Linked DNA regions of Macaca mulatta. The protein of the gene in region 2 purifies or fractionates together with the protein of the main gene of each other region. This does not show direct contact. Links are inferred from orthologs where the notes say so. Each region holds a gene or a part of one and is shown on either strand. Other genes may lie near its edges.

Region 1 (5,520 bases), on a different chromosome or scaffold from region 2:
TTGTAGAGACAGGATCTCACTTTGTTGCCCCGGCTGGTCTCAAACTCCTGTGAGCAAGCAATCCTCCCGCCCTGACCTCCCAAAGTGCTGGGATTACAGGCATGAGCCACCAAGCCTAGCCTCTTTTTTATTCTTAAATGTATTTTCTTTTCACGCTCGCCATCCTCAGCATAAAAAATAGTATTTTCTGTCTGCAGTCTCTCTTCCTTCCAATGCATCATCAATAATACTCTCATCAGTTTTCTTTCTCAAATATATCATATCCTCTTCCCTTAAAAATTGTGAATGATCCTCTGCTAACTAAAATTCAAAATCTTTTAAGTTTCGCAAGACTTTACCAGTCTGGCCCAATCCTACACTTCCAGCTATTTCCCTATCGTCTAGCCCAGAACACTATCTAGTTTCCCAAACATGCTATGCTTCTAGTACCATTCTTTGTTGTTGCTGCTTTCTAAGCCTAGAATGCTTTTTCTCTACTCTTCCTGGCAATCTTGGAATGAAATCCTCCTCACGTTTCCAAAGGCCTAAATTTAAAATCTCCTCTGCAAAGTCTTCAATTCCTCTATATCAGGGATTAACAAATCTTTCCTGTAAAAGGCCAGACAGTAAATACTTTAGGCTTTGTAGAGGGGCATAAAGTCTCTACTCACTCTGCCATAGCAGCACAAAAGCTGCATAAAAGAATGGGTGTGGTGGTGTACAAGCAGCAGCTGAATTTGGTCCAAAGGCTATAATTGCTGACTTCTGTCCTAGACAAAATTACAATTTACCACATAGTACTATAGCCTGTTGTCACCTATATGTACACTGTAAACTCCCTGAAAGAAGAACCTCTTAGTAACTTTTAATTACGTCTTCTTCCCAACCCCAGTACAGTACCTAATACCAAAAAATTCAGTGTTAAATAAGCAAAATGAAGACAATAATACACTATTATAATCTGAATCAGCAATAAGTAGTATATGTCAAAAATAGTGTACAAACGTTTGACTTATGTTGGTGTTAAAGACAGAATTCCTAAAACATCTATGTTACTCACTAGCCTCAGGTTGTCTTGACTCTAAACTTACATTAAATATATTTTAAAGCTTTTTTCCAGTACTAGGAAGAATCTATAATAGTTAACTGCCAAACTTCATCCAGATATATCTGTGGAACAGTATCCTTGAGTAGTTCATAAAACTAGGACTCAAATGTTAAGATTTAGAATCATTTGTCCCAAAGTACAAAACATATTAATCTGTGGTCAGTGATTAGTTAAAAATAATCAACAAAAGGGGAAATACATAGTTCTTGACTGATTCCCAAACAGTAATAAATTTTTATTTTACACCTGGTACTCTCCATAGGTAGCCTTAAGATAGCTAAGATAGGTGTTGACCCTGTCAAAAGGTTAATCTTTGAGTGTCAAAGCTGAAGTTTAGCCACATCTATTTATTCTAAAGGAACCCAGTATTTCTGCTCTGTTAATAACATAGAACAGATAGGGCATCAGGAAAAAGTGGAGGTGGCATGGGATTCTGGTCCCAACTGCCAATAAAAAATCACAATTTCAAAATTGTATTCATTTAAGATGAAATAAAATATTTTGTAAAATTATTAGTGATGATATAGTGTTTACAATAGCCTTTATGAAAAAAAGTCAATAAAAAGTATACACAGAGTCTATTTTATGTCCCAGTGATGCATATATGATTATTTTGAGCCCCTGAAACAGAGACAATTTTTTAAAGTAATAATAATAACAAATGCTTAGTAGCACTTACAACATGCTAGGCCCTTTTCTAGGTACTTTACATGTTATTAACTTAATCCTCAGAAGAATCTCATGAGAGAGTACAATGATCCCCACCTTATAGTTGAAAATGAGGCACAGGGTATTAAAAAGACCAAGTTCCAGAGCTATAAAGTGGCAAAACCAAGGTATGAACCAACAGAATCTGGTTCCAAGTGCTAAACCACTATACTGTACTAAACATACCTGGATTATAGCTCCTTCCTAATAGTATCATTTCCACTGTATCCTAACATCTTGTTTCTACAAATAAACAATCTAAGGTAAAACTAGGAATACTACGATTATAAACTTCAGGAGAGTGTCCATTCTGGGAGAACAAAAGGTGGCTCTCTCCTTCTCCTCAAATAAAAAATTCTACAAATTAGAGGAAAAAAGGAAAATGTCCCCAACAGACAAGTTGCCTCTCTAAACAGTCATATATTAGTTCGTAAGTTGAGTATCTTCTGTGCTGTATTTTTTCTCTTAGGTTTATCATTTATTTTCCATCTCAACTGCTTTTGACTTGAGCGTTTGGATTCAAAAAACTAATGACATGAATCTAAATTTTCTCTGCGTATACTAATTGCCATTTCTTTTTGCTTCCCATATTGCTTCTTGATGAATATTTAAAAGAAGGGGTTTGTGTATATAACAGAATTTGTTTCCAAATATCTTAAAATACTTATATGATGTGCTTATATCGTGACCCATTGGTTTAGGGGGAAAAAAATAGAAATAAACCTGAATATTTATATATTTTGTAGGTAATATCCTAGACAATAGTAACGCCCTTGCCTTCCAGACTCTTCTATTTTGAAAAAGCCTGCTCTATGTATGCTATAAATAATTCACTAAAATCAACTACACAAAAATTTAGCCATATTAAGCCTATGACATATTATCTTCAGTTGGTGGTACCAGGATGTTTTCTCCTGCTTGCAGTATGCCCACTGCCTCCTTTACTACTACCCTCTAAACAGATGACTTTATCCACTAAGATCAAGGTCATCCAGAGGATGTAGCCTCTCATAAACTTTGTCAACCTGAAGTCACGCATTTCATCTACGGCCAAAGATACCAACTACTACCAGTTCCCTCTTCTCCCACTTAGCCAGCAAAAATCACATACCAGAAAGGTCTTGGGAAACATTTTCCAAACAGCAGGATATCAAATTTTCTGTTTTACTGAGCAAAAATAATTTTTTGATCACCCTTCAAGTTTTATCACATAATATAAATACAAATAACTTGGAAAAGCATCTTTCCATAAAAAGCTACACAGTAGTTCCTTGGCTAGAATCTTCACAACAAAACAAAAGACAAAACTATAAATCTCAGAGCAAAGCCATATTTTTTCTTTGAAAATGAAAAAAGTAAAATAACCCAAACAAAACTGAGTAAGAGTCACATTATACACCAGTGTTCTATAAGAAAATTCCATAACCTAGAGAATTTAAAATTTAAAAAGTCATATTAATCAGACAATTTCCTAACAGCTGCTGATTACAAAGACTATTAAAATACACACCAACTTCATTAAAATCTTCAAAGGTGATTTTCCCTGTGGCTTCTCTGTCATAATCTTTAAGAATCTTCAGTACATCAGCTTTTTTTACATCAAACCCCAAGGCTCTCATTGCCACCTTTTGGATTAAAAGGGAAAAGCAAATTATAAAGCAATCTTTACAAAAGAATTTCTAATTATTAAGTTTTTACATCTTAAGAGATAAAAACACATTAGTAAAATATAACTTTTTTGCATGTTTTACCTCTTTAAAATAGCAGTGACAGTGTAATTGTTCTTCACTACTGAAATTATGTATAAGTTTTTTCATTTATAAATTGCATTTTTATATGACAAAGTAACCAACAAGTGTTTACTATATAAAATGCACTAACTTACTGCACAGATAATTTGACTGCTATTTGTTATCACGGGATTAACAACCAAAATGAGAAAAAGGCATAGCATAAATATTAAAGTTATATGATAGAAGAGATAAAACATTAAAATAAGAATTATCATCAGTATCTCCATGATTAGTTATTAGGTTAATAATAGGGCGAAGGACCCTGAGTTTAGACAAAAAAGAGACTTTGTTACTAGTAACAAGGAAGGAAACATGTTACTGACTAGATAAGTCTTATTTGGAAAGATTCAAGTTGTTCCTTGAAGGACAGATGAAGAGGAGCAGTAGGGCATTTGGGAAGGATGACTAGTATTAAAAGAAACACTGAAATGAACAATAGGTTTGAAGGACAACGAACAGAGCAGTTTACCTCACCTGAATTAGAAGAGTTCAGGTGAGATAAACTGCTCACCTGGATTAGAAGGTGAATTCCACGTGAATTAGAAGAGTTTGGGAGGAAGAAAGCAGTTAGCAAATGAAAAAAGTAGTTGGTGGCAAAAGTGTAGAGAACATTCAGTAGAAAGCAAAGGAATCTGAACTTTAAGTAGTATATAATGAGGAGTTATTAATAGTAAAGGCTTATGAGCAACGAACAATTTATAAGCAATGGTGAAAGATTTTTTAAACTATCTAAATTCAGTGGTAGTAGTATACAAGGTGAACTACAAGTAGACAAACCATTTAGGAAGCTCCAGGTATGAAATAAGGTCTGAAACCAGTCAATGGTTACTAATGGAAGAGACACTATAAAGGAAGAATTGATCAAATCTGGGTAACCAAAACCAAAAAACAAAAACAAAAAACAGTGGGAAAAGAGAGCTAAAGAGGACTGCAAGATTGAGAAAGCTAGACTTACAGGCCTATTAATTGTTTTTATACATTCTATACTGTTACTGCATAGTTCGTATCCCTACTTGGAATTCTAATGCTTAAAAATCCCTTAAGAAATTACAAAAATTAAAACTATCAAATAAACACTTACATTCACCTATCCATTAAGGCTATTAAAAATCTCAAAATACTATCTTTCCCACTGTGCTGAAAGTAAGTCCCATTCTACCCTAAACCCAAATCTCTCCTTATACCCTGACAAATAATAATTTACAAATCCCTCTCTACACCTTGACATTCTAGGTCTTAAAGTTGACATTTTTACCTACAAGCATGTGTCAACATCAAACAGCACTGAAGTTGTTTGTACCACAGAAAGTGGATTGAGACTATGTTACTAACAAATACAAATTATAAGATTAAAAGACAACAATCCCACAATCTGAAAACAGTATGAGTCACCAAGAAACAAAAACAAAAACAAAAAAAACAGTGAAAAGAATATGGTAATAGTTTAAATTCCAGTTTGAAATCCTTTAATTATGTCAGTGAAAAATAAGCACCTTCCCTAGGAATGTATTGTTACATTTAAAATGCTATTCGTTTTATCACGTGAAAAAGATTTTCTAAAAACTGTGTTAGGAGTTCTATTCAGTATTATTATAGAATCTAACTATGAATGCTTAAAATGCCTTCATAGTTCCAAAACCAATTTAGTTAAAATAATTACTTAGAAATGTAATGTAAAGCAACTGTCAAAATGCAAATCATTTTAACACAGAAACAAGTATTTTAAAGTATACCATTACCTTTAATTCATGATAATCTATTGCTTCATCTTTGTCTGTATCAAATAGTTCAAAAGCATCTTTAATTTCTTGTTTCTGTTCCTCAGACAGTTCTCTTCTTTTTTTCCTCTTTGTTTTGTCTACTACAAGCTCACTTCTATGAAATGGAAAGAAAAAGCCCTTAGTCCACTTTAATTCTCTTTACTAACAGAAA
Region 2 (5,520 bases):
GACAGGGTCTCACTCTGTTGCCCAGGCTGCAGTGCAGTGGTGTGATCAATAAAGGCTCACTGCAGCCTCAACCTTCCCAGGCTCAGGTGATCCTCCCACCTCAGCCTCCCAAGTAGGTGGGACTATAGGTGCACACCACCACGCCTGGCTAATTTTTGTATTTTTTGTAGAGACAAGGTTTTACCATGTTGCCCAGGCTGGTCTTGAACTCCTGAGCTCAAGCAGTCTGCCTACCTTGGCGTCCCAAAGTGCTAGGGTTACAGTCATGAGCCACTGCGCCTGGCCCATTTATTTGCTGTGAATGTTCCATGAAGTACTCTAAACCTAGAGATCCCTAAACAAGCAATTCAAGCAACAGTCTTTTTGTAGTTTCCTGCCTGCCCTTCTTTTCCAGATTATTTTATATTTCATCCTGAAGATGAACCTCTACATAAGTCCAAGCCAGGCTAGAAAATCTTTAAGCACAGATACCCAGTGCAGGCTGGATAATTAATTACACAGGCGCATGACAGCAAAAGCCCAGTCCTGCTGGGCTCCCACATTAATTTGCCTTAGTGGATGTGAATGATTTAATCTCCATGGAAAACACAAGGTCTCAAGTGAACAGGCTTCCCCTCCCAACACCATAGAAGACATTTGCCCTCACCAAAGCCTTTGGAGCAGCTATTCCCACAGCTCTCACCCAGCTAGGACTCCCACAGCAAGCTCACCTGAATCTTTTAAGGTGCAGCCGGAGAACCTGAGGTAGTCTGTAGATCATTAACTGCTTTCTAGCTTCACTCAGAACAAGGGGTTTGGGATTGGATTTTCGTCGTTTGCCTATGTGGTTTGGGAAGGTATAAGACATAGGTTGTGAAGAGTTTTTTCTAGCTATGGCAGAGACAGTGACTTGCCATTCAATATGCATTCTCCATATTTCTAAGTACCTGAACCTCAATTTTTTGGGGAGTGCAATGTGACCCCCTTTATGACTGCATTTCCCGGCTTCACAAGCCTGCATGGTGTGGCCATGGAAGTTCTGGCTAAGATGAAAGGAATGACTGTATGGGACTCTGCTTATACAAGGCTGACTCACTTGTAAGGTGCATCCCTTTGGCCTTCCCACTATCTGAAACTACTGGAATTCCTCCTGGACCAAAAGGTAACTTTGAAGACAGAAGTCTTGCAACAGGATAGTAAAACAGAAAGACAGAAATAGCTTGGGTCAATGATGACCATGCAGCCACCATGCTGGCCCTGAATGTCCTTCAGACTTGTTTTATGTAACAGAAAAATAATACCTCTCATTTTAAGTCACTGTTATTTGGGTCGACTGTTACAAGCAACTCAAATCTTTCCAATTTTTGCCATCAGGAACTTTGCGTATAATGGAATATAATGGAACGTGCAACAGCAAGCACACAGAGTAGAAGCATATGTTAAGGCTCCATGTCTTTACAATGGCTTATAACTTCAATTATGATACCCCACAATATGATTTTAAGAAGCTTTTTGTTTGCACTAGGTAAGCCTAATTCTACTTCCTGCTCACAACTAGTTGTGTGCTAATGGATAAGTTACTCAAAACTCTGAACCTCCGTTTCCTCACCAGTAAAATAGGGAATAATGCATATATTTCAGGCTTAGGAAAAAAAGGATAAGATTACTAAATGATAGAGTATTTAAACACATTTTTCTTTAGCATGATTTGCTTATGGCATATTCAAACATTTAGAAAATAAACTGTTAGTTCTATATTTTTATGCTGTGCCTAGTTTTTGAAACATATTTCCTAGATAAAAGCACATTGCTGGACATACAAGGACAAAGCTGACAGGTGGCTAAATTCATCTACTCCAAAGCAGAACTAGTGATCAGTCTCTAATTTTGTTTCTAAATGTGGGGGAAATGCATTTCTTGAACTGCTGGCCTCAAGCAGTCCTCCCACCTTGGCCTCCCAAAGTGTTGGGATTGTGGGTGTGAGCCCACTGTGCCCAGCCTTTAGGAAATGCATTTCTAAATTTCAGCAAATAAACAATGGAAACAGAGTTATCTTAGTTTCTATCAGAAGCCTTTCCTGTAACCATTTACTGATGGCTGTTTTGTTATATTAAACTGGTAAATGGATGAGAGTAGAAAATTAGTGTTCTATGGCAGTCTCTGCTAATTGTCTTGAGCTGTTGATATCATGGGCTCAGTGTCTGAAGAGCTGGGCATCTGATTCCCAGTCCTGTCTGTACTACTCATGAAAGGTAGCAAATCACAGCCAGATGATGTATCACAGAGCTTTCTGTGACAATAGGATGTGGAGGTGTAGCTTCTCATAATAGACTGCATCAGAATGAGTTGTGCCATAGGAGAAGCTTTTACCAGGGTGTGTAGTCACAATATGTGCTGGCATGAACAGAAATGGAATTCAAAGAGGGGCTTGGCCTTATTTTATATTCCTATTCACCATTTTTTTGAAAATTACTGCAGCTCTGGCTAGGAACCCTGGCAGTGACTACCACCCTCAGCAGAGGGAGTATGTGAGCTAAGATGAAGACAATATAGAGTCAGGCTTTGTTTCCCTAAAATGAAATTCACAAAGAAAAATAAATTACTGATTCAATTGAGATTGATCAGTTCTGTCTCCATTTCATTAAGCTGTCCAGGAAGACAGGTAGAAGACTGACAGTTTTGAAACTTCACAGGCAACAGATCAATGCATCTCATCTCCTCACCATAGGTTTCCTTCTCTGGCATTATTTGCACTTGCCTAGAGAAATCCTGATAAATTGGCACATCTGACAACCAAAGAACAATCCTTTCTTGTAAAGATAAACCAAAGTTATTTCTTGCCTAATCTATCATATCCAAAAATGATGGAGTTAAAGCTGTTAATATTCTTTTGTTCATTACAAGTAAAAGGCTTCAGGAATCATTGGGTTTTTTTGTTTTTTGTTTTTTTTTAATATTACTCTAATGAAACAATTTGATTCACCTGACTCTGTATCTCAAAATGGAACAGGATAGGTGAGTCTACAGTTAGCCAGGTATAAAATTTCAAATTTTCTTTTGAAATGGCAAAATGATATCGAGCATAACTTTGTGGGTTGTTTTTTTTTTTTTCTTTTTTTCCTAAAAGAGGTCTTGCTGTGCTACTCAGGCTGGTCTCAAACTCCTGGCTTCAGGCAATCCTCCTGCCTTGGCCTCCCAAAGTGTTGGGATTACAGGTATGAGCCACTGCACCTGGCCTCAAGCCTGACTTTTGATTTTTGTTCTGATTCTTCAAAGAGTGGAACAGGTTTCCCACAATTTAGCTTTTTTTTTTTTTTTTTTTTGAGACAGCATCTGGCTCTGTCGCCCAGGCTGGAGTGCAATGGCGCCCACCTTAGGGCCTCCCAAAGTGCTGGGATTACAGGCATAAGCCACTGCGCCTGGCCTAACATTTTTTTTTCTTCAAAACTGGTAATCTAAACTATTATGTGACTGAAAATGGATTTCTAGGTCTCTGTACAATCCATTAACTTTATACTTTTAGTTTCCAAATCTATATATGCCACAACCCTCAAACATAAGCATCCACATATTTGCTCTGCATTTCGTCTGTCCATACTGGGTTAGCAGAAGCATTAAGTGTTAGTGTGGCAAGATGGAAGGGCCCTGTATAACACGCCTCTGTAACCATATGTAAAGAGTTCCATTTTAAAATTACAGACAACACAGAAATACTTCCTTATGACCCTCTCTGAAATGTGAACTTTTCAGGCATGTGAAGAATAAAAAAAATGCAGAAAATATTTCATGAAGCTGCCACTGAGCAATGTACCTTAAGACTTACTTTCTTGGTTCCACTGTACCAATCTTTAGCATCACTTTTGACAGACATTAAGTCTGCCAGTTCATTACAAAAGCATGCTTTTCTGATATCGCATCCCTCAGAAAGGCTATTCCATCTGGGTTTAGATTAAGTAAGAACTGTTGGACTCTACATTCATTAATTTACGCAGCAGCCCCATAGCACTAATAAGCTAAGTACTAACATTCCAGAGTCCCCATTTCAGGAGCCACACTTTAAAATCCCTTCCAAGATGACAACTAATGTCAATCAGGAGGTCAATCAACTCCTAGGTCTTTGTTTCATTTTTTGTTATTGTTGTTGTTGTTTTTTGAAACAGAGTCTCACTCTGTTGCCCAGGCTAGAGTGCAATGGCCTGATCTCGGCTCACTGCAGCCTCCACTTCCCGGGTTCAACCAATTCTCCTGCCTCAGCTTCCCGAGTAGCTGGGATTACAGGCACCTGCCACCACGCCCAGCTAATTTTTGTATTTTTAGTAGAGACGGGGTTTCACCATGTTGGTCAGGCTGGTCTCAAACTCCTGACCTCAAGTGATCCGCCTGCCTCAGCCTCCCAAAGTTCTGGGATTACAGACACGAGCCACCACGCCCAGCCTTGTTTTGTTTTTTAATACATAATTAAAACAAGTCCATGTTTTTTGATTTTTAGAAAAATGGGAGGAAGAGATCTTTAAAAGATGCTTTAGAACCATTCAATATCATTAGTGTTACTTTTGACTAAAGAGGACAAAGCAGCACGTTAAACTGATATTCCAGTTATACTTCCCCACTACGCCCCCTCCTCCACACAGCACTCACTGTTACACTGGTCACAAGCGTAGATTCTTCCTTCCAGGGCCTCTGTCTCTGTGAACTTGGCCAGCATCTCAGTGAGCAAGCACTCTGTCTGATTCAAAGGGACAAACCCCTTTTCTATGCAGTGATAGCGTTCAGGGAATTCCAGGGATAGGTCCCAAAAGGGCTCAATGGTATTAGATTTGTAATTGCATGATATACATGTGACCTAGAATGAAAAGATTGATTTACAGATTATGTAACTTCCATGCTTCCTGCGTACAGTTTTACTTGCTTCATAAAAGACACACTTTATCAAAACTAAGTGTATAATTTTCAAAAAATAGTAATATTAAAATAATAAACATAACTTTAAAAGAATTAGAGTATATTACTTCTGATGTACATTTCTAACTATGGGATGCTAGCTGGAATTTAAAAACCATACTGCATAGAGACTATACCAACCCACCTTTCTCCTCTCCCAAAATATGCTCTAACATTCAACAGTACAGTAGCACAGACTGCAAGTTATTATGCAGTCTCTCAAGGGATCAGTCTGATATAGAGAATCTGCAGGTCCCTGCCTACTTCCCTCACTCTGTAATTCCTCCTCTTGACTTTAGACCTTCCATAGAGCCCAGCACACCTCTCTTTTTGCCTTTGTTACTTGCAGAAGCCCTACACTGAACCCCTCTGTCTGCACAGCCTCAAAATGCTGTGATTAGACCTCCATTCCCACTATAACCTTCCCAGGTGCACCTTCCTAAGGGGAGGGGAGACAGAAGAAGTGCTAATAAATACTCCCCTTTTACATGCTCAAAAACAAAAACCTAATTAAATTTTCCCTTTCCATACCATTCATCATTCTTTCAAAACCCTAAAAACCAAGACACAAGCACAGTGTAGAGGTTTTACCTGAATCTC

Evidence for each region.
Region 1: the proteins of USP49 (region 2) and CETN3 purify together in Homo sapiens (affinity purification with mass spectrometry; 4 studies listed by BioGRID and IntAct, with this or other methods). This does not show direct contact. The link is inferred for Macaca mulatta from reciprocal best matches to the Homo sapiens genes USP49 and CETN3.

Annotation. Positions count from the first base shown.
Region 1 is NC_133411.1:96,787,611-96,793,130, forward strand, and holds part of CETN3 (centrin-3), read right to left. Parts: intron 5,464-5,520; coding exon 5,328-5,463; intron 3,421-5,327; coding exon 3,306-3,420; intron 1-3,305. UniProt on the Homo sapiens protein: Plays a fundamental role in microtubule-organizing center structure and function. As a component of the TREX-2 complex, involved in the export of mRNAs to the cytoplasm through the nuclear pores.
Region 2 is NC_133409.1:140,371,131-140,376,650, reverse strand, and holds part of USP49 (ubiquitin carboxyl-terminal hydrolase 49), read right to left. Parts: intron 4,823-5,520; coding exon 4,618-4,822; intron 820-4,617; coding exon 711-819; intron 1-710. UniProt on the Homo sapiens protein: Deubiquitinase that plays a role in several cellular processes including transcriptional regulation, cell cycle progression or innate immunity.